Linked DNA regions of Caenorhabditis elegans. The protein of the gene in region 1 purifies or fractionates together with the protein of each later gene. This does not show direct contact. Each region holds a gene or a part of one and is shown on either strand. Other genes may lie near its edges. The genes, in order: T22F7.1, Y60A3A.25 and R193.1.

What was found.
Region 2: the proteins of T22F7.1 (region 1) and Y60A3A.25 fractionate together in Caenorhabditis elegans (co-fractionation; one large-scale study listed by BioGRID). This does not show direct contact.
Region 3: the proteins of T22F7.1 (region 1) and R193.1 fractionate together in Caenorhabditis elegans (co-fractionation; one large-scale study listed by BioGRID). This does not show direct contact.

What each region holds. Positions count from the first base shown.
Region 1 is NC_003281.10:538,517-550,090, reverse strand, and holds T22F7.1 (Major facilitator superfamily (MFS) profile domain-containing protein), read right to left. Parts: upstream 8,026-11,574; 5' UTR 7,965-8,025; coding exon 7,762-7,964; intron 7,202-7,761; coding exon 6,947-7,201; intron 6,895-6,946; coding exon 6,768-6,894; intron 6,212-6,767; coding exon 6,012-6,211; intron 5,370-6,011; coding exon 4,977-5,369; intron 4,072-4,976; coding exon 3,717-4,071; 3' UTR 3,554-3,716; downstream 1-3,553.
Region 2 is NC_003283.11:19,985,288-19,996,009, reverse strand, and holds Y60A3A.25 (BZIP domain-containing protein), read left to right. Parts: upstream 1-1,816; 5' UTR 1,817-1,831; coding exon 1,832-2,074; intron 2,075-3,028; coding exon 3,029-3,167; intron 3,168-3,214; coding exon 3,215-3,355; intron 3,356-3,405; coding exon 3,406-3,479; intron 3,480-3,588; coding exon 3,589-3,990; intron 3,991-4,040; coding exon 4,041-4,139; intron 4,140-4,564; coding exon 4,565-4,732; 3' UTR 4,733-5,277; downstream 5,278-10,722. Other genes in the region: sri-67 (G protein-coupled receptor), read right to left, coding at 5,506-5,551, 5,669-6,093, 6,150-6,497, 7,871-8,026; clec-260 (C-type lectin domain-containing protein), read left to right, coding at 9,697-9,792, 10,335-10,391, 10,647-10,721.
Region 3 is NC_003284.9:1,150,976-1,159,190, forward strand, and holds R193.1 (uncharacterized protein), read left to right. Parts: upstream 1-3,972; coding exon 3,973-4,031; intron 4,032-4,134; coding exon 4,135-4,391; intron 4,392-4,438; coding exon 4,439-4,613; intron 4,614-4,661; coding exon 4,662-4,665; downstream 4,666-8,215. Other genes in the region: R193.6 (uncharacterized protein), read left to right, coding at 342-400, 452-530.

The DNA.
Region 1 (11,574 bases):
AACGACGAAATTCCAACAAATATCCTTCCACTTAACCTATACCATCAATCTATTAACCTATCCATCAAACCGTGTCACATTTCAAGATAAAGAGAGGTACAGAGGTACTGGAACAAAAAACACCCATAACAAAAGAAAACAAGAGGTGAATGTAAACGGCAGGACAAAGTGAAGACTGAGAACCCATGGAATTTCCCATAACTATTATAGAACTGATAGTATTTTTGACCACCAAAAGGTCGGCTGCCACTACTTGAGGCCAGGGAACTGTCGACTGCTAAGTTTTTAAGCCAGAAAATTGTCGTCTACGCCCCAACTACCCAGGGAACTGTCGGCTGCCACCATTGGTGGCCAGGGAACTTCCGGCAGCTATTTCTTTGACATGTCAACTGTTGGCTTCTATTTCTCCGACCAGGGAACTGTTGGATGCTAATTTTTTATTTTCAGCCAGAAAATTGTCGGCGACTCCCCAACTAACCAGTGAACTGTCGGCTGCAACCAAAGCCTAGGAATGTGTCCTAATTAACATAAAAAGGTCATCTAAAAAAGGACATCACAGAAAAACCACTTGACAATTGGAGAATTAATCCAATCCCTGCACTTTTTTACCGCCCGTCTCCCTTTTCGGAACCGCCAATGAAATGCTAATGAGATTGTGGACGAAGGTGAGAGTGCGGGAGAAAACAATTTTGCTAGGGTACACGTTACTTTTTTCGCAATTATCTAAAGTTAAAATTCCAATGTAAAATATATTTTTAGAAAATTAATATTGAAACTAGAAAAAACCCACCGAAACAAATAAAAAACGGTTAAAAAAATTTCGAAAAAAAAAATTTGGAAATTATACAGTTATTTTCATATTGGTAATTGTAATTCTTTTTCAAAAATTATTATAAAACCCCTAAAAATGAGCAGTTAACAGTGTTACACATTTTTGGAAAAAAAATGAATTTTAATTTTTTTGAATTTTTCCAGCCAAGAGCAAAATGTGCTGTCAGTTTTTATTTGGCCAGAAAAAAAACACCATTTTATTTGGAAAGAAATTCTACAAAAGCGGTCGAGGACACTAAAAACAGCGGAAATTTGCAATTTTTAAGCTCTTGAGCAATATGAGTTATAAAATTTTGTTTCGTCACATCTGACGTTTTTATAAAAAATTCGTAAAAATTCTACTAGTTTTGAGACATGAGCAAACTGTGATGTCAAATTCAATTCCGCCAAAAACATCATTTTTCTTTTTTTTTAAATTACAAAAACATAAGCAAAGTAGATACAAAACTGCAAGAACAATAGTCGCATGCTCATTGAGCCCACCATATACAACGCTCGAGTTGAGCAGACTATCCGAACGGTCAACACACCCAAAATAGTACGGGAAAATGAGAGACGGAGAGGTAAAAGAAAACAATTTGCATATTATTCATTCCTTCTACAGCCTCTTGAAAAACCTTTGAATTCCGAATTCTCGATCACTTGAGATGCCAGAAGCCTGAGGGATGAAGAACAAGAAGAGATCAAAAGTGAAAAGATATATGTGAATACGGGCGGTGTGTCTACTTGAGAATGTATATTTATCTGCCGACAAAAGGAGATGAAGCCAATATGCATGTCAGTTTTAATTAGAAATTGATTTTGATATAATATCACCTACTGATTTTCGCCCCAAATTTTTACAGCTTTTCAGGCAATTTAGGTGGAACGAAAGGGTTGCATGAGAAATTGAGGCTTTCACACGGTTCAACAGATTTTTGTGCCATTCACGTGGTGTCAGGCTATGCCATTACGGTTTGATCTACAAAAAATGCGGGAATTTTTTGGCCCAAAAACAATGTGACGTCAGCACACGTTCTTAACCATGCAAAATCAGTTGAGAACTCTGCGTTTCTTTCCCCGCATTTTTTGTAGATCTATGTAGATCAAACCAAAAAAAGACACTCCGGTAAAAGACGAGAACAACATTTCTTAAACAATTTTCTAAAATCCACTATTGGTGGAAATTCACGGGTACCGAAATATAGGCTCCAAAAGTATAAAAACCGTCAATTTAACTTGGAAACTTGTTCCTTTAAATTGAAAAGCAATGATGACTCAATTCATAAAATCTTATATAACATGCTTATATTATCATAATGCTAATATATCAACCGAGATTACAGATCTTTACGCATTTTTCGATTGCAATCTCATCGTTGCAGAGATGACAGGCAACATTGCAAAATGACCATAGGTTCAGTTATTGCCTAATCTAGATTGAAATGAATAACTTTCAGTTTTCCAGGTCAACGCCTGCCTACCACCTAATTTGCCTTAACTTTCCACACTTGCCTTTAGGTATAGGGCAAGTATGGAAAAGCCTAGAAATGAGACTAAATTATTCAAAAATTATTTTTTAAAAGTAATAAAGGATTTATTCAGGGGTGCACGGCAATCGGAAATTTCGGGCAATTTCGACAATTGCCGGTTTTGGAAATTTTAAGGAATCGGCAATTTCGGTAGTTGCCAGTTTGGAAATTTTTGGCAACCGGTCATTGCCGCGCTATAGAACGTATTGATGAATTCTACAGTTTTAATGTAACTTTCTCGGTTATCAAGTTTATATTTCAGGCAATTTTGATTTCCGACAACCGGCAATTCCAGCAATTGCCGGTTTTCGAAATTTCCTGCAATCGTCAATTTCAGCAATTGCCGAAAAGTAGCGCATTTCTGGATTTATTTAATCCTACATATACTACTTTTCAGAAAATCAAAAAAGACAAGACCCAGGCAACACAAGACGAAAAAAGGACTAATTCACCGTTTTCAACTAACAAAAGCGGAAAGGCAAGGGCGGCTAAAGTCGGAGAAAAATGGGCAAATCTTCAGTATTTTACTATCCCTCCACACCTCTTGCCTTCCCTCTACACCGATTAACCGGAAAACTACCAAGAAGAAAAGAATAATAAAAGGAATATACATATTTGCAGGTAGTACAAAAGATCGTCGGGCTTAGGATTTCGAGAACTTTGGAATGTTAGAGCCTACTAAAACTTGGGTATTAGTAGGGCTCTGCTCAAAATTGCTCGCAGTGCAAAATTTCAGTATGTCGATTTAATGGGTAGAAGATAAAATTTTGAGTTTCCAGCCAATTTGTTCAGATAATTAAACATTCAATTTCTAGCTAAAATTTGGCAATTCAGTTAAAAAATTGTTAAATTAAATTATTTAAAATTGCGCCAAAGTAAAAAAACGATCAAAAGTTAAATGTCGAACTTCCTGCTATTTTTGTTTGAACTTATACTGCACACAAAAATTATTTTTAATTCAGCTTCTGACGGAGAAAACCGAACTTCAGTTTCTCATGACGCCGAAATATTTAGTCATAAGCTCATTCAGAGCTCTTTGGGATTCGGAGAATTTTCTAGGTCAAAAAGCTTAGAAAAATAGCTTTAGGGTAGGCAGGCACCTACCTTGCCTACCGCCTATTTTGGTCATTCCGCTAGATCCTTGAAGGTAGGCGGGTAGGCATTACTCTGCCTACGTAGAATAATCACTCCAAATTTCAGAAAAATTGGGAGAAAAAAATAATTTAATTTATTCAAAACTGGGGATTTTTATCACAAAACAAAATATTACAAAATATTACAAAAAAACACAAATACACGTCTGAAAACTCGTTTTTTTTTCTTTTTTTGTCACTGGGTGATCATAAAAAAATTCAAATAATATTAATTAAAGCCCTAAACCTTGGTCTCCTGCTGGCACCACGTAAGCCCAGAGCACAACAATCCCACTGCTGCTAGCACCAAAAACTGTGCTCCAGGAGCCGCCGAATCAATCAGAAAAATGTGCGGCGCCACAATTGCTCCAATATTGCAGCATGTCGAGCAAACCCCAATACAGCACGACCGGCACCACGTCGGAAACAGCTCGGCAGCGTAGATGAAGCAGAAAATGTAACAGCATGAGGCGCAAAACTTGGCAACGAGCCAAATGATGAGGTGTAGCGATGTGTCGTTTGACAAGAAATACATTGTGAGAAGGGCCATTGAGCCAGTAAAATGGCACAGAAAACGGGTTGGGCGACGTTTTGTTCTGCAAGTTTACACGTAGATACGAAAGTTTTTTCTATTACCTGCCTTCGAGGTTACCTACTCCTGCCTTGCATGTCTGCAAGGCGACCTACTCCTACCTTGCCTGCCTTCAAGGCGACCTACTCCTACCTTGCCTGCCTTCAAGGCGGCCTACTCCTAGCTTGCCTGCCTTCAAAGCGACCTACTCCTACCTTGCCTGCCTTCAAGGAGACCGACAGCCAAATACACACTAAACTTCCAACAGATTAATCGAATAACTAAATTTCACTACAATAATACAAAAATAGGCAGGTAGGCAGGCAGAGAAAAAAGTTCCTGCCTACCATAAAACCCACAAAAAGTGACGTGTTTAGTCACTTTTCATAAAATTCTCACATTATCAAAATCCGCATACTCTGTGTTTTCAGAAAACTATAGACACAAATAGGCTCGAAAATTTTGGGTCTCACCACGAAAATATTCACGGTGACGTCATGCAGTCAATTTGTAAGCAATTCGGAAAATGTATACATTTTTAATTGCAAATTGTCGGCGCTTTCAGAAAAAAATATAATCATGACAAGTTGCCAGATATTTCACAACTCAGGCAACGCAACGTCTGGTGAAATTTTAAAATTTAGAGTCTCACCACGAAAGTATCAACTGTGACGTCATTCGGTCAGTTCTGCGCCTCTTGCGCTTTCAGAAAAGTATAGTTACAATGGGGTTCTAAATTTTATATTTTCCAAAACGAAATATCGGGTCCCGCCACGAAAATATTAATGGTGAAGTCATTCGGTCAATTTAGCAACTTGAAAAATTCGAATTTTTTGCGTTCTCAGAAAAGTATAAACACTAGGGTATCGGAATTTCCCCCAAAAAAACTTGCGTGACTCTGCAAGTGCGCCCCACGGCAAAACAACTAACCTCGTCAAGCATATCGGTATGAAGAGGTAGGCAGGCAACTCGACGACTCCCGAAAACAAAAACGACACCAGCGGATCCGAATTTCCGACAGATGTGGATGTAAGTGACAGCGCACAGTACGTCATAAAAGTGAGAATCCAGAGAAAAGTCTCGACGATGATTCGGCGTGTGATCTCCCGATCCGACAGAATTTCACGAATCATTTCAAATATTGTCAGTCGATTTTGTGGTGTCGGCGATGATGAAGTGGCAATTTTCTCAGTTTTCTCCATAATCATGTCGAGATCGTAGTTGAGCTTTTTACAGGAGAGCAGCTCATTTCGTTTGATCCATTTTTGAACAGCTTTCCGGTTTTTCTTTTCGATTGAGTAGCCGACACTTTCCGGGAGCGTTCTGAAAGAAAACATTTTTAAAAATTTAAGAAAAGTTGTATAAAGTACGATTGTTCTTTAGAAAAATAGCGGTTTTACAACTAAATTTTTCTGGTTCGTTAAGCCCCGCCCTTTTAATGGCATGAATTTTCAACCGACTCTAAGAGTTTTTTTTTTCAAAAAAAACAGGAAAAATTTTTTTTTAATCATTGTTGAAAATGGGCGGTTTTTTTTTAATTTTTAAGGCTCCGTCCCTTTAATGGCATACTTTTTCGATTAGAAAAATGGGGCCACTTTTTTGTGTCCAAATGAATATATCAAAAAAATAAACTATAAGAATTTGGGTCTTACAGCGCAAGATTTCAAGGTTCATCGACTTTATAGGTAATTAAAAATTTTCAGAAAAGTGGCAAGGAATTCAACTTTTTAATTTTTCAAAAAATATTTGCGGGAAATTAAATTTTTAATTTGAAAGCAATTTTTATAGGACACTGACACTTTGATTGTTTAGAATATCTTGGCGGGGAATTCAATTTTCAAATTTTGGGTCGATTTTCTTTCGGCTATTGTCAAAATTGCCGATTGCCAGAAATTCACAAAACCGGCAATTGCCGGAATTGCCGATTACCGGAAATTTCCGATTTCCGTGCACCGCTGAACGTACCCCATCAGAAACACAGCGACTAAAATATTGGGAAGAGCAGTTGCCAATTGAAGACTTCTCCACGTGTTAAACCATACAGATAATGGAGCCAAAAAACAATAACCGCATACCCATGAGACTCCGAAAAATATTGATGTTAATGATTGAGATCGATGTGGAATACTTTCACCGCTTAACACGTAGTTCACTGTTGTCAGGGGCTGCAAAATATCGATTTTTTAAATTTTATGGTTGAAGGCAAAAAGGAGAAGGTGGTAGGCAGGCATACTGAGGAACGTTCCGGCAATCGGCAATTTCGGCAATTGCCAGTTTTGGAAACTTTCTGCAATCTGCAATTTCGGCATTGCCGAAAATGAGATTTTCCCGAAATCGGCCATTTTGGAAATTGCCGGTATTTGGAAATTTCCGGCCATGGGCAATTTTGGCAACTGCCAAAAATGAAAATTTCCGGCAATCGGCATCTTGGGCACTTGCCGGTTTTGGAAATTGTTGGCAACCGGGAATTTCGGCATTGCCGAAAATGAAATTTTCCGGAAATCGGCAAATTCAGCGATTGCAGGGTTTGGAAATTTTCTGCAATCGGCAATTTCGGCAGTTGCCGGCTTTGGAAACTTTCGGCAATTGCCGTTTTGTGAATTTGCGGAAATCGGCAATTGCCGAAATTGCCAAAAACTTGATTGCCGAACGGCAATTGCCGCGCACCCCTGGGCATACCCGACAAGCCTGAGCACCTAAAAACATCAAAAATTCCCATACCGTATAACAGGATCCTTGTATAAATCTTGCGACAAGAAGTAGCGGAAAGTTCGGGGCAAGAGATCCTAGAGAACCCACAATTCCAGTAAGAAGAAGGCATATTATAATAATTGGACGGCGGCCAAATCTGAAATTTTATAGGAATTTTTAAAAATAAAAATCAATCTGAAAAATCTCACCTATCAGCTACAACTGCAAACAGCTGTCCAATCAACAGATTTCCCAAAAAATAAATAGAAGTTGTCAATTCAGCGGGCTCAACGAGAAAAAACTTGGAGGTTAGGTTGAATTCGTTTTGAATTGTGTAAAACGAGCAGTTTTCTGTACATTCATCGCCGGCCGGAGCAGTGAAAGCTGGCGAAATTGCACTGAGAGCACATAGAGACCAGAGGAATGACATGGAGCAGATTATGAACAGGGGATACGGGCGCCATCTGAAAAAAATAATTATTTTAAAGGGGGTTTTGATTGCACTCCGCTACTCAAAAGCCGTTTAAGTAAATTTTGTGTCTAAAAATATGGCTCTAGAATTATTTAAACATTGGTTTTTGTCACAGTCACAGTCACCGAGGGTCAATAAAAATGCTTCAATATTATTTTTTTTCTTTTCGAAACCATTTAAAATTATCAAAAGTGCAAATAAGACCGTTTTTCGAGCAATTTTATGGGCTTCGAATAGGGAGTGGACGGCAAACGATTTTTTTCCGGAAAATCGGCAAACCGGCAGTTTCCGATTTGCCAAAATTTGCTTGTGAATTCACACATTTTTTTTTGAAAATTTCAGCATTTCAATTTAAATCGGCAAAATCATTTTTATGAACAGAAAGCAAATTCTATGAGAATATCTTTTTAAAAAATGGAAAAAAATTTCGAAAAATTGACAAACCAAAAAATTGCCGACAATGAAAATTTCGGCAAATCGGCAAACCGGCAATTCGAGCACCGCTGCTTTGAGCCTTGTTGAAAAGTCTATAAATTTGGAAAAAAAACTCACGCTGTAGTGGCTTTCAGGAGCTCCTCCACACTGGAAATAACATCTTGTCCACCTTCTTCCACTTGAACCAATCCATAATTTTTCTTCTTCTTCTGATGCTCTTCTCCATCATCATAAGCATCAGAAAGTGATGACATTAGTGGTGATGTATAACCTCCTCCACTATGCACAACTTCTTCCTCTTCTTCTTCTGATGCCTTCATATGGACCTGTCACACAACACACCGCCGTTTCATCCGATTATGCAAATTTTCCAGGAGATTTCTGAAAGTTTATGAAGAGTTTATAAAAATTATCATCGGGGTTTAAAGTTGCATAATCAACAAGTGAGAGCAAAAGGGGTAGAATCAGTGCAATAAAAAGGATCAAAGTACACATTCAAAGAAGAGAAACGTGGCTAGGAACAAACAAGAATACGAAGTACAATTAGAATGCGGCAATTCATACAGAGAAGAAAAAAAAAATTAAAATTACATTTTTCCCCACCAAACGGTTTTATTTCTTGCCTATTAAAATTGCTTCCAATCGTTTTTTTTTTAATTTTTTCAATTGTGCTATTTCGCTTTTTATATTAGTGGCTATAAAAGTGAACACCTAATCATTTTGCCGTTGTTGTTTTTGTTGTGACTGTATGTCAACACGGTAGATCAAAAATAAATTCTGTGGAAAATTTGCGATCGTGTTTTTCGATAATGTAAAATGAGCAGCACAGAAGCACTGTTTTTCAAAAACTACAGTAGTCCAACATTACGCCTACAGTAGCGCTACAGTAAAATGTTGAAAACTCTTGAATTCGTTGGAAGGTTGAAAAAAGTTTTCTTTATTCACAATTTTTATAATAAATAGTTGGTTCTTAAACCGCGCTCAGGTCAATTTTCTGCATTTTGGCAAAAAATTTTGACGTAACGAAAATTAGTAAGCCATAAATAATAATCTTATAATCTAAATCTTAGCCAATTTCTAGGATGAAAAAAAAATAAATGGAAAAAAATGATCGCAAAAAGAAATACTGAAAAAATGATTAAAATTGATGTAACGTTCAGATAGAGCTCAAACTAAAAACATAATGAAACCACCACCCACATGGTCAAAGGTCTTTCAAGAATCTATATTAATGTCCTCCGCATTCCATTGGTTAGCACAAGTACTAAAACGTTACCAAGATAACAAGTTTACAGTGATTCTAGCCAATATATACGACTGTGTGGGGGTGTGAGAAGTAATGAAAGGTGTGGTGTTTCTCAGAGTCAGCAGGTGGGAAGTTGGAAAAGAGTCACATGAGAGAGTTTGCAGAATTTAATTTATTGAGATGAGGAAATTTTGACTAGAAAATTCCCGACAAATCGGAAAATGCCGGAAAATCAGCAAACCCGCAAATTACCAATTTGCCAACTTGACGAAAAACGGCAATTGCAAAAAGTGTTTGGCATTTACACTTTTTTCCGTCTTATAAAAATCCCTCTAAACATTTCCGGCAAATCTGAAGAAAATGAAAATTTCCGGCAAATCGACAAATCGGCAAATTGCACAAATTCAAAAACAAATAGTGGTTTTTAAACGATTTTCGTTTAGATAAACTCGGCAATTTTTATTGGTTTTTTGGTTTAGCTGTGCACCCGGGGCGTATTTGATAGAAATAAATAGCTAATAATGACGACACGAGAGCAAAAATAATTGTGATGTAGGGATTTTTAAAGCTATATTTTAAATTTTGCTTCCATCGAAATTTTCTAAAATTTTCCAGCAAGTGCTAAAACCAAAAACGCTCAAGGTTCACAAAATAGTTTGCCACAATGATAACACATCTCCAATATCAAAATATCAATTGCCCTTTTTGTTATTATCAATTTTACAGTCTTTATAAACATACACGCATATGTATTTACATAGTTAATTATTAAATAGCTTTGGTAGTTCACGAAATATTGCAAAGAGCATATGGGATTGTCAATTTTGACAGAACACTTGATTTTTCTTAAAACCTAGAACATGAACGTAAACGTGTAACCTAAAAAATTGGGCCTAAAATTTATTTTCAATAGCTCTAGTATTTTTTTGAGGTACTGCATAGAGCATTTGGTAATTTCAATTTCTCAAACATGAAAGTGAACAAAAATTGAAAACTTTTATAAAGTAGTACGTAAGAAGCATATTTTCGTTAGCTAAGGCAGCTTTTGAAAAAATAAATTTGGAGAGCAATTGGCGTTGTTAATTTCAAAAAAATTTTTACCACAGATTTACCAAATTTTATCTAGAATTCCCAACAAAAAAGTGCAAAATTCACAAAATGCCTACCAAAACACAATATCAAAATATCAATTGTCCTTTTAACTATTATCAATTTTACAGACTCTATAAACATACACATATATGTATTTGCATAGCTATTTGAATGGGAAGTGACCAAATGCAAAAAGAAGAATCAAAGTATCAGCATATCAATTTTCGTGTGGGGAAAACGAGAAAGAAAGTTGATGATTTCGGCGAACAAGGCGTTTATATTCACCTCGATTACCCTAAAAACTTCCAAGAAAATACATTTCGACGTAATTCAGATAGAATTGTGCCCTTTTCTGTGTCATTGAAATTTTTGAGCTTGCAGAAATATGTATAGTGAAGGTAAATAAATTATTATCAACTATCAAAGGTTGAGTTGAGAGATTACAATCTTTAAGTTTGTTTCATTGCACTAAAGTTCCAAAAGACCTAGTTTCATAATGAGATTTTTCAACAAAAAAAATTAATTTTTATTTATAGAAGTTCAAAATTTCGTAGAAAAACTCAGATTTTGCGTTTTAGAAACTTTAATTTTTTTAGTTTAAAAACATTGTTAATTTTGAAAAAAACATTAATTTTTCTTTAATTTTTTTAAATTTAAATTTTAAATTTTTAGGGGATTTCCTGACATAAATTTCCCTAACCAAAAATGATAATTCAACTAAAATAGCAAAAATTATTTTTGCGAAAAAATTCAAAAATAATTGAAAGAAATTTTTTGTAAAGTACCAAAGTTTCGTATTCTGTAGAAATACTGCGAAAATTAGCCAATGTATGGGCGGAGCATATTATTGCTTTTTCTTGTCTCGGTCCATTTTCGGACATAAAAGGTACAATAAACTGAGACTTGCCCGAAAATGCTTTTTCCACAGAAATCTTGCGATTTTTGAACAAAATGCCTTTTTTTATTTCGAATTTGCATTAGATTTCCTACTTTATTCAAAGTACTAGAAACTGCGATTTTAGTGTAAAAATTTCAATTTTCGGATATTTGCGACATAAATTTTGTAAATTTTTAGTTACATTTTTCTCAAAAACTTCAAATTTTTTTTTTCAAATTCAAAAACAAATAGTGGTTTTTAAACGATTTTCGTTTAGATAAACTCGGCAATTTTTATTGGTTTTTTGGTTTAGCTGTGCACCCGGGGCGTATTTGATAGAAATAAATAGCTAATAATGACGACACGAGAGCAAAAATAATTGTGATGTAGGGATTTTTAAAGCTATAATTTAAATTTTCGGAAACTTTGGTGTTTATTTTTTAACTTTTTTAAAATGTTTATTTGATTATTAGATTAATTAATGAAAGAACGAACCGTCAGCTGCACTGGAACCTCTACTGGAAATCTGATTTGACTAAAATTGATCTTTGGAATATATTTAAAAATGCACGGAGTTTTGTGTAGATTTACAAGTGTGGATTTACGTGTGTGGATTTCCTTTTGTAGGTTTACGGGGTGCTTTAGATCGACGATAAATTGGAAAACTGGATTTTTTATCAAATTTTCACTGATTTCTGCGACAAATTTTTTACAT
Region 2 (10,722 bases), on another chromosome or scaffold:
GTGAATAAATTTTGTTGTACAGTTGTCACAGTTTTTTAACATATGTTTCCAAAAAAAAAGGATTTATTTCAGGTAAAAAGTAGTACCCTCAACTCAGAGAAATGATCGAAAAATTAGTATTGTATTACAAGCGATAATTAACACAACTTATGGTACTTGTGTATTACATGCCCTGATTTTTAAATTAAATTTAATGTTCATTAATTTCTCCATTTGAATTAAACGTGATATACATTTTCTCTTTTTAGGCTTAGAAATTGGTAATTCCTAAGCCTAAAAATGCAAAAGTGTGGTTCACGTTTTTATTTCGCATAACTTAAAAAATTACTACTAAAATGAGGGCATGTAATACACAAGTACCCAACTTTTTTTTAGACTTTGAATGTTCTGCGCTTTTGGTTAATAAGAACCAATATGGAAGCTACAATAGTCGTCTTTATTTACATTGTTATTTACAGGAGGTGCGGTCCACGGCTGGTACAGAATATTGTGCTTTCTCCTTATATGTTATGTTAAGTACAAACTTTTTTGAATTGAGTGGTGGTTACCAAAAAAAAAATTATATTTTTGTCAGAAACACGGAAAACAATTTTTATCAATTTTCATCATTGTCATCGCATCTGTTGCCATTTTCTCCTCTTTTTAACTCATTTATTACTTTCCCTATCAATTTTTCCGCTGGCTATTTTCTATAAAATGTATCTACATTATTATGATTTTTTAATTTTGAAAAAAAAATATTTTTAAATTCCCGTGCAAATGAGTGACGTCATTTTCGACATTTTTTTGGTGTATATTAATGAAAAATAATTTGTTACATTTTCAGATTTTTTTTGCATTAAAAATAGTTGAAATTAATTTTGAATAGTCGATTTTTGGCCCAAATTCAGAGTTTCGTTAAATTTATTTCCCATTGCCAAGTGTTCTCAACGGAATGATGCCTCAAAAATTGACAAACTGTGTTTCAAATTATAAGCCGGAAAACGAAAATATGTCAAAAGTGACGTCACTCATTTGCGAGGTAATTCAAAAATAATTTGGCCCATTCTTTAAATTATGCAAAATTAAAAAAAATGTTATCAATTTTTTATGGTCATATTTGGCCAAAAGGGTCTATTTTGCTGCAACATTTCCATTTGTTCTCTTATCAGCACTCTCTCTTTTCTCAGATGTCAATAGTTGTCGCCTGTCTTTTCTCTCTAAGTTTCTCTTTTGAGTTTGGTTTTTTTCCTCCTTTTTTTAATTGCGATGTCATGTTCATATATTTTTGCTTCATACAAAATATTGTGTTTTCTCCTTAAATATTATGCTAAAGGTGGAGTAGCGCCAGTGGGGAAATCGTCAAAAAACCACTCCTTTGATCCCAAAATGACCAAATATCATGATAAAACTTTTCAAAAAAATTTTGAAAATTTTTATTTACTGTCAAAAAGTGGCAATTACTCAGTTTTTGCCACTCATGATTTTGGAAGTCGACCAAAAAAAAATTTTCTTCGACATTTTTTATGTTTTAATTTTGTTCAAATTGTTTGTATTAAAACATTGTAGGGGTCGAAACATGCGATGTTCCTTTAAATTTTCCCAAAAGCTCGTATTTTTCAAAAAATTTTTTGAGTGTTCTACATATTATGAGCTGGCGCTACTTTTTGAACTTTTTGATGGTATTCATCCAAAAAAAAAATTATATTTGAGGTTTTGAATTTTAAAACTGGAACATATGTTTGTGAAATTCAAGCTTATCAAAGAAGTCTGTTGATAATTATTACTTTTTCTTTATCTCCACCAACTTCCAATAATAGAGCTCTCCATTTAAGAATTTCAGCACTGTCAAATGTTTCCGAGCACGTCTCACCGATTCATTGATGCTGGCACATCTGGAAATGCCCAACGAAATAACAAAGAAGGATCTTCACATAAATTACCCAGTCTTGAAAGTTGGTTTGGAAAGAAAACAACATCAGAAGCCACAGCCCAGAACCAAATTGTTGGAGATAATCCACAGAACAATTCGGTTGGGAACTACTTCAATCAGAATTTAAACGAGGATCATCATGATCACCAGTTTGCGCAGCAGGTTCGTGAACTTATTATCTTTATAGATAAAAAACAGTTAGTCTGTCCGGAGCTTGTAGTATATGTAGTCTTTTTAGTCTGTGACGTCACACCCAACTTCACCAAGAGTTGACCCACAAGTTTTGGCGGGAATTCGAATTTTCTGTGAAAAATTTTGGCGGGAATTTAAATTAAAAAAAAAAAATTTCTGAAAAAACTTTTTTCGGGAAATTCGAATTTTCTTCGAAAATAATTTTGGCGGAAATTCAAATTTTCTGAGAAAAATTGTGGCGGAAATTTAAATTTTTGTGTGAAAATTTGTGGCGGGAAATCAAATTTTTTGTGAAACAATTTAGCGGAAAATAAAATTTTCTAGGAAAATGTTTGGCGGAAATTCAAATTTTCTTTGAAAAATTTTGGCGGGAATTCAAATTTTCCGAGAAAAATTTTGGCGGAAATTCAAATTTTCTGAGAAAAATTGTGGCGGAAATTTAAATTTTTGTGTGAAAATTTGTGGCGGGAAATCAAATTTTTTGTGAAACAAATTGGCGGGAGGTCAAATTGTAAGAGAATCATTTTGGCGGAAATTCAAATTTTCTGTGAAAAATTTTTTCTGGGAATTCAAATTTTCTTTGAAAAACTTTGGCGGGAATTCAAATTTTCCGAGAAAAATTTTGGCGGAAATTCAAATTTTCTGAGAAAAATTTTGGCGGAAATTCAAATTTTCGGTGAAAAATTTTGGCGGGAATTCAAATTTGTTTTGAAAAATTGTGGCGAACATTCAAATTTTTGCATGATGTCTACGAAGCTGTGGTGTGGTGCGGGCGGGCGGGAGTAGCGTCCTCGTGGAAGACCTACTTACGACGTTTGATATGTATTGGGAACTTTAGGCATTTAACTGCGAAAGTTTGAACAATTCTTGTTCAAGATCTAACAAAACGTGTTAACCCTAATCCCTCAATACACATTTTTTCAGAATCCTGACAATGCTCTTGACAATTCACAAACTTGGCACAATCTGGACAGAATACATCAAAATTTTCAAACAATGGACATGCAACCATATCAAGAGTATCAGGACAATAATGAGTCGGGCTGGGTGGATTTGAATAACGGTACGCTACTATTGCCCTGGCTACTCGTGTATGTTCTCGTTATTCAGACAACCAATTCCAACAACCCGACAACAACGACCCAAATGCAAATGACCTGAACTTATGGAATATGGAAACTGGTCCGGGGCAAGTCTTTGAAGCGCCAGTGCTGCCAGCTATACCATGGAACAATGACGACAATTTCAATGGTAAGAATTAACATTTAAAATCTGGTTTCCAAAAAACCCTAACTTTACAGACAATTTTACCGAGGACGACGCGATTTCACAGATCTCATTTGATAGTGAAATCAAGAGTGAAACTGATTCAATGGTAAGTTTTAACTCGCATTTTATACCTCAGGGAGATTAAATTGTGATTGGAGTTCCTTCCATGTCCATATAACTTTTTACGTACTACAATACTATTTAAAACGTTTCAGGTTTCAAGAAAACGAAAAAGAAACAGAGAAGATGCACAGAATTCTTACGACAAGAAGAAACGTATCCGGGATGAGAACGAAACGTTTTTCAAATCACAGAAGCTCACCCATGAAAACCTTCTAAACCAGAATATCTTGAATGAAGCACATTTCCGAACAGCGGTCAAGCTTGTCCTTCGTCCCTGCTTCTCAAATCTTCGCATCATCAAAGTTTACTACACCAATTGTAGTTCAGAGCAAGTTTTTCGGTGCCTAGCAGATTTTGAACGTGATAAAGCAGATATCATCACTGAAAAGGATAACTTGAAGAGACGTGATATGAATCTGGCGAAGCTGAAAACAAGAATGGATGAAACTGAAAAAGTATATGACGATGCTCAGGCTGATCTTGACAACAAAAAGGTGAGTAGATGAGAAATCTATGAAAACATTTGCATTATTTAGATTTTCAGGTTGGAATTCCCCCAGGTACTTTAGCAAGCGGTTGTTTTCGAGCAAAACAGAAATATGAGACGGTGGCTTTTGAACACGGAGCAGGTGAACTGCAATATGTAAGTGAATTTATTGATAAATTGGCAATTTCATTTCAATGGAAAATGTAACGGTTTAGGGTTTCTTCTTAATTAATCAGATAAACTCAAATTGTCTCCATTAGGTTAAATTTAATCATGTGGATTTTAAAACAGGTTTCTGAAAATATTTTAAAGCTGACAGAAAATAGACCCTGATAACCGAATATAACTGTACAAAAGTTCGACAAATTGAGCTGGAAAACGCGAAAATCTCAAAAATGACGTCACTCATTTGCGCGGAACTTAACTTTAATAGAGCTGTTTTTTTTTTTGAAAAATTTTGAAAAATCATAAAATTTTAAAAAATTAAATTTTTTTAACAGCTATATTCGGTTATCATGGTCGATTTTCTGGCATTTAAACCAAAAAAAAAAAGTGTTTTTTCTAACACGCTTTTTTTTCAGGAGTTTTCAAAACAATATCGAATTGCGTCGCGTCTGACTGCATACGGTGGTTGGTTTTATCCGGATGCTCGAAATCTGTTACAACACAATTGGCAGTTTTTATGTGATAACGCAGGACCTGATATTGAACAGTTGAAGGAATTGGCAACATTTCTGGTTACACGATAAGCATCAAATGTATTGATAATCCTCTCACCTTTTCCGATTTTTCAAAAGATTTTTCAAATTTTCAAAAATTAGCTTAATAATTTGGTCATTATTCTTCTTCTTAGAAGAAATTTTAATGTTTTTTCTTATCAATATAAACAAAATTAGATAAAAATTCATATTTTATGATTATTTTTCGATTTTTCGATTTTCAAAACTTCAGAAATCGAAAAAAAAACGATAAATCGGAAAATCGAAAAAATTTGTCCTGTTCACCATCCACAACATATCTTCTCTTAAACTCAAACTTTCATGATACTCGCCTTTTTCTTTTTGTACATCAGCATCATCACTGCAAACTAATTTGTTTCATATATGTATATATATAGATCTATTGTATGTTTATTTAAATTAGACATTTGGTTATAGCATTCTGGTCAGTAAAATGCATTTCACGAATATACCCGGAGTAAGGTTGTTGGTCGGATTTGTCTGGTTGTAGATACCCGTGAGGTTCAGTGAAATCAATATTATACATGTGTTGGTTATATGAAATGAATTTAAAAAAATATGTATTCAAGTTGGCATAACAGCTGGAAGCCGTGTAATTTTTCAGCTGTCGAAAACTTTGGGTATAAAATTTCAGAAAGAAAAAATAAAAAAAATAAACGTCGTTTAATTTTCAGAGCATACATATTTAATTCTGTCATATCAAATGAAAATCATCGAGAAAAATTTTAAATCAATGTTAACATTTTTTTCAAACTTTAGTTATAAAGAAAAATTTAAAGAATTTATCCGCTCTGTGAATGCACATGTACGGAAATTTGTCGGCGATTTCTGAAATTTTATCCCAATTAGCATAATTTGTATAAAACTAGTATGTATTAGTTTAAAATGCAATCAATTTTGATGGCTATCACAGCCAAACAAATAAAAAAAATTTCAGGACCTTACCTCTTAAAGCTTTTCTCCAAAAACCTGCGATACGGCGGTGAGAATATGAGCAACGATATAATATTAGTAGATGAATGACATGAGAACACAACTAACATCAGTTCAGCTATCAATTGTGAGTGCTCCAATCTAAGAGCCAAGGCGAGAGCAAAACACGATGTTGGCGCCGAGCATATAACTGAGACGAACGTCTGAATAACCAGACTTTGAATTGCTTCCCGGTGCCTCTGGTAGTTTACAGCAGAGATTTGAGATTTCAATCGAACCATCATGCGGACAAGGTCCATGTTGAAAAATACCAACAGGGCGATGAGAACTGAAACTTCGATGAATGTTATAATAATTACACCATACAGATAGTTGGATTCTTTATACATTGAGAAGTTAGGTAGGCTTGCGAATTTTGTATAATATTCTGGGGAAGTCTGAACAAAATTTTGTTTGTATTATATTATTTTAGAAAAAAAACTCAATAACTTACCATATTGATATATTCCAACTGCTTTTCCTCCTGAACAGTCAAAAAATCTAATCCGACACATGGTATAGCTGGGAACACAATAGCCATTAAATAGCAAAAGTATGGGATAAACTTTGGAATAACATGAACATCAATTATCACCGCAATTGTTTGATGTTTCTTGAAGAAACACAAAAGTAGGGACTCCATTTCCAGATATGCCCATACTCCAACATTTATCAAACAGTAATGTGCAGAAACATCCAGCCAAAGAGCTAGAATGCCATATGAGGAAATTGCGAACAATGGGTATAATGGAACAATTGATGAAAGAGTGGTAATAGTGATGTCAGCTAGTGAACAAACGACCTGGAATAATGAGGGTCATGAAGAAATAAGCCCTTTCTCAGAAAATTTGAATTTCCCGCCAAAAAAAAATTCTCGCAAAATTTGAATTTCCCGCCAAATTTTTTTTCAGAAAATTTGAATTTCCCGCCAAATTTTTTTTCAGAAAATTTGAATTTCCCGCCAAAATTATTTTCTAAGAAAATTTGAATTTCCGCCAAAATTGTTTTTCAGAAAATTTGAATTTCCCGCCAAAATTGTTTTGCAAAAAATTTGAATTTCCCGCCAAATGTTTTTTTCAGAGAATTGAAATTTCCCGCCAAAAATTTTTTCCCAGAAAATTTGAATTTTCCGCCAAAAAAAAATTTCTCGCAAAATTTGAATTTCCCGCCAAAATTTTCTCTCAAAATTTGAATTTCCCGCCAAAAAAATTTTCTCTCAAAATTTAAATTTCCCGCCATGATTTTTTTTTCAGAAAAATTAAATTTCCCGCCAAAATTATTTTCTCTTAAAATTTGAATTTCCTGCCAAAATTTTTTTTCAGAAAGTTTGAATTTTCCGCCCGCCAAAAAAATTTTCTCTAAAAATTTAAATTTCCCGCCAAAAAAATTTTTTTCACAAAATTTGAATTTCCAGCCAAAATGTTTTTCCCAGAAAATTTGAATTTCCCGCAAAAAAAAATTTTTTTTTAGAAAATTTGAATTTCCGGCTAAAATTTTTTTCAGAAAAATTAAATTTCCCGCCAAAAAAAATTTCTCGCAAAATTTAAATTTCCCGCCAAAATGTTTTTCCCAGAAAATTTGAATTTCCGGCCAAATTTTTCTCAGGAAATTTGAATGTTCCGCCCGCCAAAAAAATTTTCTCTAAAAATTTAAATTTCCCGCCAAAAAAATTTTTTTCACAAAATTTGAATTTCCCGCAAAAATGTTTTTCCCAGAAAATTTGAATTTCCAGCCAAAATGTTTTTCCCAGAAAATTTGAATTTCCCGCAAAAAAAAATTTTTTTTTAGAAAATTTGAATTTCCGGCTAAAATTTTTTTCAGAAAAATTAAATTTCCCGCCAAAAAAAATTTCTCGCAAAATTTAAATTTCCCGCCAAAATGTTTTTCCCAGAAAATTTGAATTTTCCGCCCGCCAAAAAATTGTATCTCTGAAAATTTGAATTCTCCGCCATGATCTTGCAGCGAAAAAAAGACGCAGTTTATCAAGTCCCGCCTACAAAATGGGCGGAGCTTGTATGACCCCTCCCATGAAGTCAAAGAATATTCCAAGCTCCGCCCTTTGTGTGACGTAACTAGGCTCCGCCCATTAATGACGTCGAAGACTTAAAATATTTGTTACTTATAGTAATGATGATGGTTTGAACTCTTCTAGCTAACAATTTAAGCTGTATTTACCTGAAATAGCATTAAATAGTATCGAAAAGCGCCAAGCTCTTTCAACTCAAAGGTTAGTAGGTAAATACCGAACAAATTGATGCACAACGAAACGCCACCAATGGTATGATAGGTGTAGATCAACCAGTGGGGTTCAGTGAAATCAATTTTATACATTTGTCAGGTATATAGAATGAAGAAAAGAATTAGAATCCAGAAAGTTGAAATTGCAATCGACGACGGAAGTATGATTATTCAGCTGTCGAAAACTTTAGGTATGCCATTTTGAAAGAAATCAAATTCGGTTCTGAAGAGTTACGTGTACTTTAAGGTTCCGGAGCTTCCGGAACTAGTCGAACATAATGCGTTATTCGTGAATAAATTTTGTTGTACAGTTGTCAGAGTAATCACAATTTTTTCAGATTTTTTTGTATTTAGAAGGGAACATTTTTCAACTGGAAAATGTCAGTATGATTGCCAGGACAGGAAAAATCTGCAGTTTGCCCGGCTAAAGAGCCTAAGATTGAATAATTTATAGATTTTCCGCTATACTTTTTCGGGTTTTTCCCGTAAAAATCCAAAAAAATCTAACTAGAAACATATTTATGGTTTCTACATTTAAAAAAAATTCGGCACGTGATAATTAAATTGTATGTAAAATTGAAAATTAAACTAGAGATTAAAATAAACGAAAAAAAATAATTTATTTAACGTGACTTACAATGTGGAACTTCTTATCAAGATTCCCATCATTTTTTGTGAAAAATCGATTTTTCAATTATTTCGAAATTTATTAGCACTATAGATTGCAGTTGTAAACTAGTATCAAATGTGAGTTAAACATATTCTATCTATTTCTTGGGTTCATACTTCCATACAGGCTCCAAAACTCGCGATTCTGGCTCCCTTCATTAACTGAAATGCAAGAGTTTGGCGAACTATGCCATTTTGGCTTGAAGGTAGATTTAGGCGCGTTGCGTGTCGCGCCGCGGCTCGCTTTTAGTCTTAAAACTGAATATACTTGTCCGTGTGGAGTACGCAACCTTACCACGCGTTGTCCTGCAGGCGATTGTCAATGGAGCGCGAAAATTGCAATAAGGAAGGCCAGAACCTTATGCCTCAACGCCTGTCGCGCCTACCTTGCACCGCGATTTGCGCCTTTGTATGGAGCGGCGCGGAACCCGAAAAGTGTCGGCCGCGGCGCAGGAACCACCATTTCACTGTATGGTGTGAACATTGGCAGTTGATAATAGTTTTTAATAAAAACAGGGAAAATCGAAATCTGCTGTTTCCTCGGGTTTTGTAAAAAAATTCGAAAAATTGAGATTGAAGAATTTATAGTTTCTATGCCGTTTTTTCATACAATTTATTGTATTTACGTTCTCATTTGAAAATTAAAAATTAATTGAGAAATTAAAATAAACGAGAAATAAAAATTATTGAAAAGTTAATTAATTTAACGTGATGTGAAACTTCTTATCAATATTCCCATCATTTTTTGTAAAAAAATCGATTTTTCAATCATTTCGAAAGATTTTTTACTATATTCAAAGGTAAGTCAAAATTAAGGTATCTTAGCGACGTGTATGTTTTCATGCAGGCGGTAAAACGCCTGCCGCGCCTACCTTGCGACTACCCGCGCCCCCTAAGCGAAACCCAAAAAATGTCGGCCGCGGCGAGAGCGTTTTTTGCGAAAATCACTTCTCCGGGACGATAGAAATCATACCATTTTGGGCAAGTTTCAGACGGAAGGAAGACGGGTGTTATGTTTCCTGAGAAATAAAACAATACACATAAAAATTCAAAATGAAACATTTCCTAATTTTAATTAGATTATTTTCAGAGTAATGGGTCGCCCCACGCGACAAAAACAATCCAATATAAGGAATCTGGCCAACTGGAAAGCCGCGCAGGCTGAAGCGAGGATACTTGCGGAGGAACAGGTTAGTTAGCACTCATGTCTCTAGATACCGCCGAGAAGCAAAAATATCAAAAAATGATGTACTGAAAAACTGAAAAACACAACAAAATCTATAAGATTTGTGCTACGTACACCCATATCAAAATTTAAAAGTGTGATTTCAATAAAATATTATAGATTTTACTGTGATCTACAAATTCTCAATGGATCACTTTCTGATATTTTGCTTCTCGGAAAATATTTTAATTGCCGAATGCATGAAAATCTTGGTTAGCTTTTAGTAACTTGTAACTTGGCACATAGTGATCTACAGCCTTTCCGCTTTGCTCTGCCACCCACCGGCAAGGCATTGACACATAGAAAGGCAGAGGTACACAGAGCAAAGTGGAGGGACTGTATGTCATCCAGGTACTTTTTATACATTTTGCCAAAATCAGGGGCAAATTTAGAGTCATTTGAAAATATTTCCCAGATTTTGCTACGTCATCTTAATTATCAAACAATCATCTCAAATTTGCGTCTTTTTTTTGATATTTTTTTCTAAAAAATGTTAATTTTCATCAGCAACGCGGGAGCACACAAAATCGTCGGGCAACTCTCCCAGCTGCAAGTCCTCGACAGGTATGTTTTTGGAATTTTATTGAGAATTCTAAGAGAAACAAATTTACAATTGCCTCTTTTTTTAATATAATTTATAAAATAAATTTTATATCATTTTTTTGAAAGATAAAGCTAATAAGAGAAAGCCGAAAACTGAAATAAAATAATTTACTCTACTGGAATTTTTAATATAGAAAAAAGAAAAAAACATCAATTTTCAAACAACAAAAAATGTATTTTTTTAGACAATTTTTTCTCTAAAAACATTAATTTTAGCTAAATGGACGTTTGACAAATGGCCCAAGACGCTCTTCGACACCTCGATCTTCAATTGCCACGAGTTCCCAAGCCG
Region 3 (8,215 bases), on another chromosome or scaffold:
TTGATAGCGTGGGATAAATTTTTGTTCATATTCTTCTATACTGCAAAAAGAAATCTTAAGAAAAACAGAAAACCCCGTCAAACAATTCAATAGAGGGCCCCACCCAATTTTTGGTTTATCAAAATTTTAGACTTAAGTTTTTAAAACTTATTCGAAAAGAATTCCCGTGTCAGAATTTATTATTTGAAATCTTTTTGCAAACTGGGAATATGATTCTAATATTAACAAAATAAGTAAAAATTTTAACAATTGTATCCGGTTATTATGGCCGATTTTCTACAGATTTCGCCCAAAATTCCCCCTTCCCAATTTTTAATTCTTCAATTTTTTTCCATGTTCAGGTCATGCAATTCAATGCCAGAACTAGTAATGGTACCTCGTCAGCAACATCATTTTTTTGGTGAGTTTGAACTGAAAATCTGAATCTAGTCGAATTGGAGTTCATTTTCAGGAAACCTATGTTCAATCAAATGCACAAGTTGGTGATTGCAGAGATGGGAATTAAAATTTTCATAATGAATTTGATTTAAAAAAAAAAAATTTTTTTTAATTTTAAACATGCAATGCTTCTTCATGAACACAAAACCCCCGAAACCCAACTGGGCAAAGTTCTTAGGTCACTTCTGATAGATCCACGAGGTTGAGCAAGCTCTACCAAATATATATTTCCAGATTGAGTTTCAAAATGTTCTATTTCAAACGAACAAGCAATTTTTTTTTCTAAAAATCTGAAAACACTTATATTTGTAGTAGAAATACAAAAAAACACATCAAGCCTAAAACACCAAAAATTCATTGAAAGTTTTGGTATATTTCTAGATTTTCAAAAAGTTGTGGATTTCATGCCGATTCGAACCTTAACATTTTCAGTTGACAACTTTTTTCTAACTTTTTGTTTCTTCGAGTTCTGAAATCAAGGTGCGAGACTTTTCGATGGACGTCTACTGAAAACCTTATCATATTGAAGTACAGATCTCAAGGTACTGAAATTGTGCTCCAAGTTTCGTTTAGTCTCCATCATTAGGAAACTCTGCAAAATCAGGGGGACAAATGCATTCTGTTAATATTCATTGTTTTTCTATCACATGGAGATCTCTTAGAAAAAAGTTCAATGGATTACTCGAGCAACACGTTCTCCCCGCAATCTTTCATATCGAAACTCGAGAACCAATCAACATGGGGATACTCTTTGACGAGTTGATCGAATATTCCAGCGGGGGTAGCACATTTCTCAATTTGTGACCACGCTTCACGAATATATCCATAATTCACATCAATTTTCATATCACTTCTTCTCTGAAAACGATAGTTGATTTTTCAAGAGTAAAAAAATAACAAACTCACGAGCTTCATTTTGTTGCTCAACACAACATTCTGTGGCCCTTCAAAGCAATCAAGTCCACTCATGGTGATAAGAGTGTAAATAAAACTCTTGTAATCGTCCCATTTTGTTGGACTGATCCCTGTGCCACTTTGATTGATGCGTAAGCTTCAGCATGCAAGTGTGGATTGAACGGATTCTGCAGATTGAAGTCGGATACGAGCGCGGTGTCGAAGGCACCAATTTTCACACTGTCGAGCTGAAACAAGAATGATTACTAAACAATGATAATATTTGGGTAAACATACAGAGGAATCGAAGAAAAGTGAAGCAGGAGAGATGTTGGTGTGTACTATTCCAAATGTGTGGATCTACTCCAGTTCTTTCAACATAGTACAACCGATCCGCCAGGTGTTCAGGTAACTCAACTTTCGAACATTGTATTCGTCGAAGTATGATTGCATTGAGAACATTTCATCCTTGCTGACTGAAATAAGGTGTTATTTGGAGAGAAGGAAGCTCGAAACTCATACTGATAACACTAAGATTTCCAGCCACAATGTGATCGGTCATCATAGTCGTGTTCTTGTTTCCAATGAGCAGCTGAGAACAAAAAATATTCTTTTCGAAAGCAGAGTTTGCCAACTCGTTTCCAACCGGAAAAGCACAAAATGAATATTGTTCGCCAGTGTGCAGTTTCTCTGACACGGCCTGGATCCCGAAACGACCGCGTTCGACTTTTTCCACAATTCGATGTCCATTTATTATTTTACCGACAGAAATCACCAAGCTGTAATGAAAAATTCAGCAAGGAGATGGCGTTAAATCCAAAAACCAATCAGTCTATCAATGATAAAAGAATGATATTGATTACACCGATTGTTTCATGGATCTAAGGCTCGAAAATTCAAACCCAAGAGAAGCTGGAGTTGGCAGGCGAGGACCACATGGAGCACGATTCATGTACATTACGATGAGCAGTAAAAATGTGATGAGCACAATCAGAAGTTGAATAATCGCTTGAAAACGATAAGTGATTTGAATACCAATTTCTCCGACTTTTATATGCACAAATTTGAACTTTATCTTTGTTTCTGATCTGTTTGTCCTTGTTTTTCTGTTTTTTGAAACAGGTTTTTGTTTTTCGAAACAATTTTTTCGAAACAGATTTTCGTTTTTTTAAACAGGTTTTTGTTTTTTGAAACATGTTTTTATTTTTTGAGACTGTTTTTGAATGTTTTTTCGGCATCCACAGTTGTTTCTGCAACTTGAGGAGGAGGCATAGTCAGACCCGTAAATGTTAAATTTCGAGCTTTCAAGTCAATATATAGGTCAAAAAATTGAATTTTTTATACGTCCATACAAAGGTCCGAAACTTGAGGGGTAGGTATAATCACTCATGCAAAATTTATTTTTTAGGTTTTCACGTCAAAATATAGATCACAGAAAAAACTTTTTTGTACGTGAATACAGAGGTCTGAAACTTGAGGAATAGGTACAATCCGACACGTAAAATTTGTTTTTTAGGTTTTCACGTCAAAATATAGATCACAGAAAAAACTTTTTTGTACGTTAAGCTACAGTTTTGAAACTTGAGGAGTAGGTACAATCAGACACGTAAAATTTATTTTTTTAGGTTTTCACGTCAAAATATAGGTCACAGAAAAACTTTTTTTCTACGTCCATATAGAATTAACTTCATTTTGATACTATCAGCGGTTTTAAAACTATAAAGCAAAATACTGTTTCTTGGCTTTCACAAAGATGACAGCCCTAGTATGGACGTGTGAAACAGGTTTTTGTGACCTGTATATTGACGTGAAAACCTTTAAATTAATTTTCACGTGTCTTATTGTGTACAACCCTTAAGTTTCAGAACTGTAGCTTCACGTATGAAACATTTTTTTTGCTGACCTATATTTTGACGTGAAAGCCAAAAAAATAAATTTCGCATGCCTGATTGTACCTACCCCTCAAGTTTCAGAACTGTAGCTTAACGTACAAAATTTTTTTTTCTGTGACCTATATTTTGACGTGAAAACCTAAAAAATAAATTTTACGATGTCTGATTGTACCTACCCCTCAAGTTTCAGACCTTTGAATTTACGTACAAAAAAGTTTTTTCTGTGACCTACATTTCGACGTGATGACATAAAAATAAAATTTTACGTGCCGGAGTATGTATACTCCTTAAGTTTCAGAACACTGTATGGGCGTACAAAAAAGTTTTTTCTGTGACCTATATTTAGATGTGAAAACCTAAAATATAAATTTTGCATGCCTGATTGTGCCTACCCCTCAAGTTTTAGACCTTTGTATGGACGTATAAAAATTCAATTTTTTGACCTATATATTGACTAGACAACTGGAAATTCAACATTTACGGGCCTGATTATGCCTATTTCTCAAGATTCAGAAACAATTGTGGATGCCAAAAAAACATACAAAAAACTGTCTCAAAAAACAAAAAAATTGTTTCGAAAAACAAAAACTTGTTTCAAAAAACAGAAAAACAAGGACAAACAGATCAGAAACAAAGATAAAGTTCAAATTTTTGCATATATAAACCGAAGAAATCCGTATTCAAATCACTTATCCTTGTCATTCAAACTTCTGGTTGTTGCTTCTGCCGTTGTCATCCCTTACCATCTATGCTCTACAACACGTCTGCTCTCTGTGCTCCAAAACTGCCATCCATCGGATCTCCAATGTTCGTAATTTTTTGCAGTCATGTGAGAATGACTTGTGGAACCAGGTGTTCTTGATCCATGAAACAATTCATGGATGAACCGAAACTGAATTTTTTATTTCAGATCGGTCATCAAGACCGGCGATGTTGTTAGAGACTATTTTATCTGCGATAAGGTGTATCTTGGAAAATTCGGTGTAGAGACAGTGTCGGAAAAAGTCGACGGCGGTGGCGCATTCTCTCTTCAACTGTATCCGACGAACAACGAAATTTCCCGTGTAGCTGCAGAGAAGAAGGTTCTATGCGGACAACTTCTGACCGGCTTCCGTCATTGTACACAGTTCAATGAACGCTTCTCATTTGGAGATTACTACGTGATTGGTACGATTTTCGATGTCACTTCTTTCCAAATAATATTCCATTTTCAGTTTCTGATGAAATGCTCTCGATGGAAACTTATATGGAGGAGTATAACGTCAAGAAGCTTAGCTCCGGTAACGTCTGGCCATCGGGTGCGTTATGCTCAAAGGTCTTCATCATATTCATCAACTGGGCGTTACGCATAACAACTTGGCACCATCGTCTTTGTTTTTTGATACAAATGTTTGTTCACCCAAGTTCAGTATAGTTTCACAGTCATTTTTGTTGCAGTTGACACGCGTTAAAATCGGAGCATTTGATACTGCCACTGTTCACCCCTTGCCAAATACATTCCACCATTTTCTGCATCAAGAAGCTTTCAGTTCAATTGATGTGGCAAAAGGAGAGCGTCCGATGAAAAAAGACGATTATGAAAGCATGATCTACCTTGATTTCTCTGAGTGGTCTGGACATTTTTGACGGCCCTAAGGAGACGGTTTCGCAGATAAAAAGGGATCTCGTGAGTTTGTTTTTTTTTTCGGTCATAAATATTCAGCTATTTTTTTTTGCAGAGACGAGGTGTGATTTCGATTGATAACGGACTTGGTTTTCTGAATTTGATATGAAAGACTGCGGGAGAACATATTCTTCTTATGTAATGTGACAAACAAGTTTGGCTCGAAGGCACGAAATCAAAAGTATACAATATCAAATGACAAATAAATTACTGTAGAAAAGTTGCATGTATTTCTTTTTTGTTCTGCAAGGCTCCTTTGGGGCCTAATTTTTTGATACAATTGTAAATTTGGAAATTATGTTCGTTACGGGTCTCGCAACGATTCGCCAAAGAAACTGAATACTGTGGATTGTGAATAGAAAATTTTAGTTTCGCAACATACGTTTTTTGAATAACTGAATATCAGGATTTCGGGCTATTTGAAAAAATATAAATTTGAATTTCGCGCAACTTATTTTTTTGCAAAATCAAATTAGGAGAGAATCTGTCTGAAAATTCGACGGCGAATGGAATACCGGCCAATGAGTACCTGTAAAAAATGGTTCAATAAACCTAAAAAAAAACACATATTGTTCGGTGCACCATGAGCAATACACCTGAGAATTTTTTGAAAATTTTCTAATTTAAAGGTGGATAGAAAATGGTCCAAAATGTTTTTGGCCACTTGGGTTTTTTTCCGTAACTTTTGTGATAATCTATGTGAAACACCGATTGTCTATTTCGCAGATTTTTTTTGTAAAATAATTATACGTTCACATGAAATTACGACTTTTAGGCCTTTTTTTTCAAGTTTCAGCAAATCTCTTTCGGGATATAATTTTCTCTTAACGGAAAAAAGAAATTGACAACCGGTGTTAACGGCCAGTGGGGAAATGATAAAAACCCATTCATATAGTGTTAAACTCACCAAATATTGTAATATAACTTTTCAAGGCACCTTTTTGAATCGTATCATTATTGACAGTTTATAAGTAGCAATTTCCGATTTTTTGGCATTTCTAGAGCAAACGATTAACTGAATAATTGCCACTTTTTGACTGCCAATGAGATATTTTCAATGTTTTTTTTTTTGAAAAGTTGAAATATATTAGTTGTCCAATTTGGGACCATATATATAGTTTATTACAGCTTCCCCACAGTCGCTACTTCACCTTTAAATAGATTCTGAACAAGTGTCAACAATTTTGTCTCCAGAAGTTTCTTCGAGGTTTCTAAGGGGGGGGGGGTCAAATGTTTAACTTTAGTAACATTTCGAGTCTCACAATTTTTAAAAACCATTCGAGCACACGTCCTCTGTACAAGTACGTGTCGAATGTGGCCGACTTAAGGGTCGAAACTTGTGCACCCGCACTTCCGGTGTCTTGGTGTTTATGCGCACGCCTCGCAAAAAGGTTGCTCATTTCTTTGCGAGTGATGGTTGGGGGTAATTCCAATTTCCCGACGCCTTCTGAATCGGGAAATTTGGCGACACCGACTGCCTCATCAACATCGTTTTCCAGGATGGGTGAGTGTGAGATTAAAAATCAAACATTAGAGGCTGCAACTTTCATTTTGTGTTGGTTTTTGTCTGGAGTTTTTAGAGTTTTTTTTTTCAACTGAAAAAATTCTAAAAATCTGAAAAATCTTCTACATAGTTAGTACCTGAATTGCACTTCACAGGTTCCACTTTTTGATATCCAATTTCACTTTTTGTAACAGAAGCGGAAACTAGTAAGTCATCAAACACCTAATTGTTTACTGATAACTTTTGAAAAGATTTTGAAAAGAAAGAAAGGTTGGTTCAGATTTTGAGAATCCAAAAAAACTCAAGCTGTATGCAAGATTTTTTTTTGAAAAATTTGAATTTGAATTCCTGCTGAAACTCCTTATTTAAAAATATTCTGAATTCCAAACAGTTTCGCCAAAATGTTCAAAATTTGAACGCACACCAATTTTTTTAAAAATTTAAATTGTATTCCCGCCAAAAAAGTTTTTATGAAAATTATAGTTTGAATTCTTACTAGAATATTTGAAAAATTAATTTTGAACTCCCGCCAATTATTTTTGGAAATATGATTTTGATCTCCAATGAAAAATTAATTGAAAAATTGAAAAGAAATAAATTCCCACCAATTGTTACTTGCCAAAAAATGAATTTCAAATTTTCACCAGAATTCTTTAGAAAAAATGAGTTTGAGTTTCCGCCAAAAACTAAAGAAAAAAATTCTCAATTCCTGCAAATTTTTTTTGTTGAAATATAAGGTCTCGAGTTCCTCAGTCAAGAGCGAGTCACGGCAACTCGGTCCAAAACCATTTCTAATTAGTAAACTCTCAAAAACCACAACTAAATAGCTTAAAACCATTGTAAATTAGCTTATTTTTGCTAAGTAGCAATGATTTTAAGCTAATTAGTTGTGGTTTTTGAGAGTTTACTAATTAGAAATGGTTTTGGACCGAGTTGCCGTGACTCGCTCTTGACTGAGTCGACTAAAAAATTAATGATTTACATTTTAATTCTATATCTATTTTTGAAAACAACATAAATGAAAATCTGGAAAAAAAGAATTAACTATTATTAAACATTTTTATGCCATAAGAATCAAAATACCTATGAAATTTCTATATTCCAATTGATTAAAAATTGGAATTTTTCGAAAAAATGACGTCTGTTTTTGGTCCTAAAAATTTTGCAAAAAAAAATATTAAAAAGGACATCCCTGGTGCACGGTAGGCTAAAATTTCGGGTTTCAGGAAACCTTGTGTACATTCTTACAATTCAAAACAGAAACTTAGATACTATCAAGTTTCAATTTTCAAAGAACAAAAAAATTGGAGACAAAAGAGCAACTACAAAAAAAGCGAAAAGATCAAAGAAATGCTCTGTGGGAAAATTATGATGACGGAAGAATCCCTCTTTGTGGCCTGGCTCTGTCAGTTTCCGTGTGATGTGATATGAGTGATATGAGCAACATAAGATAAACGTTTTGTCGCAAAGTTGTCAGAGAAGGAGAGAGGGTCCCCCCACCAAGTGATTTCACAATCACTCAATGTCCTGCTAGTCGTTACGTTTTTGAATTTTTGAGATACCTGCGCTTTTTTGTTGGGTTCAGTATCGGAATATTACTAGATATTGTATTCTGATGGGTTTTAAGACGGCAAGTCATGATCGAAAATCATAGGAGTAAGTTTTTTATTTATCTTTTACAGTTTTAGTGAGAAAAAATTACTGCTATATAATAAGAGGTGGTTAGATTTGTAGTTACCTTATTTCTCCAGAATTATTCAAATTGAGTGTGAATAGGCAGCTAATAAAACTATCCTGAAATAACGAGATTTAAATATTGTTTTC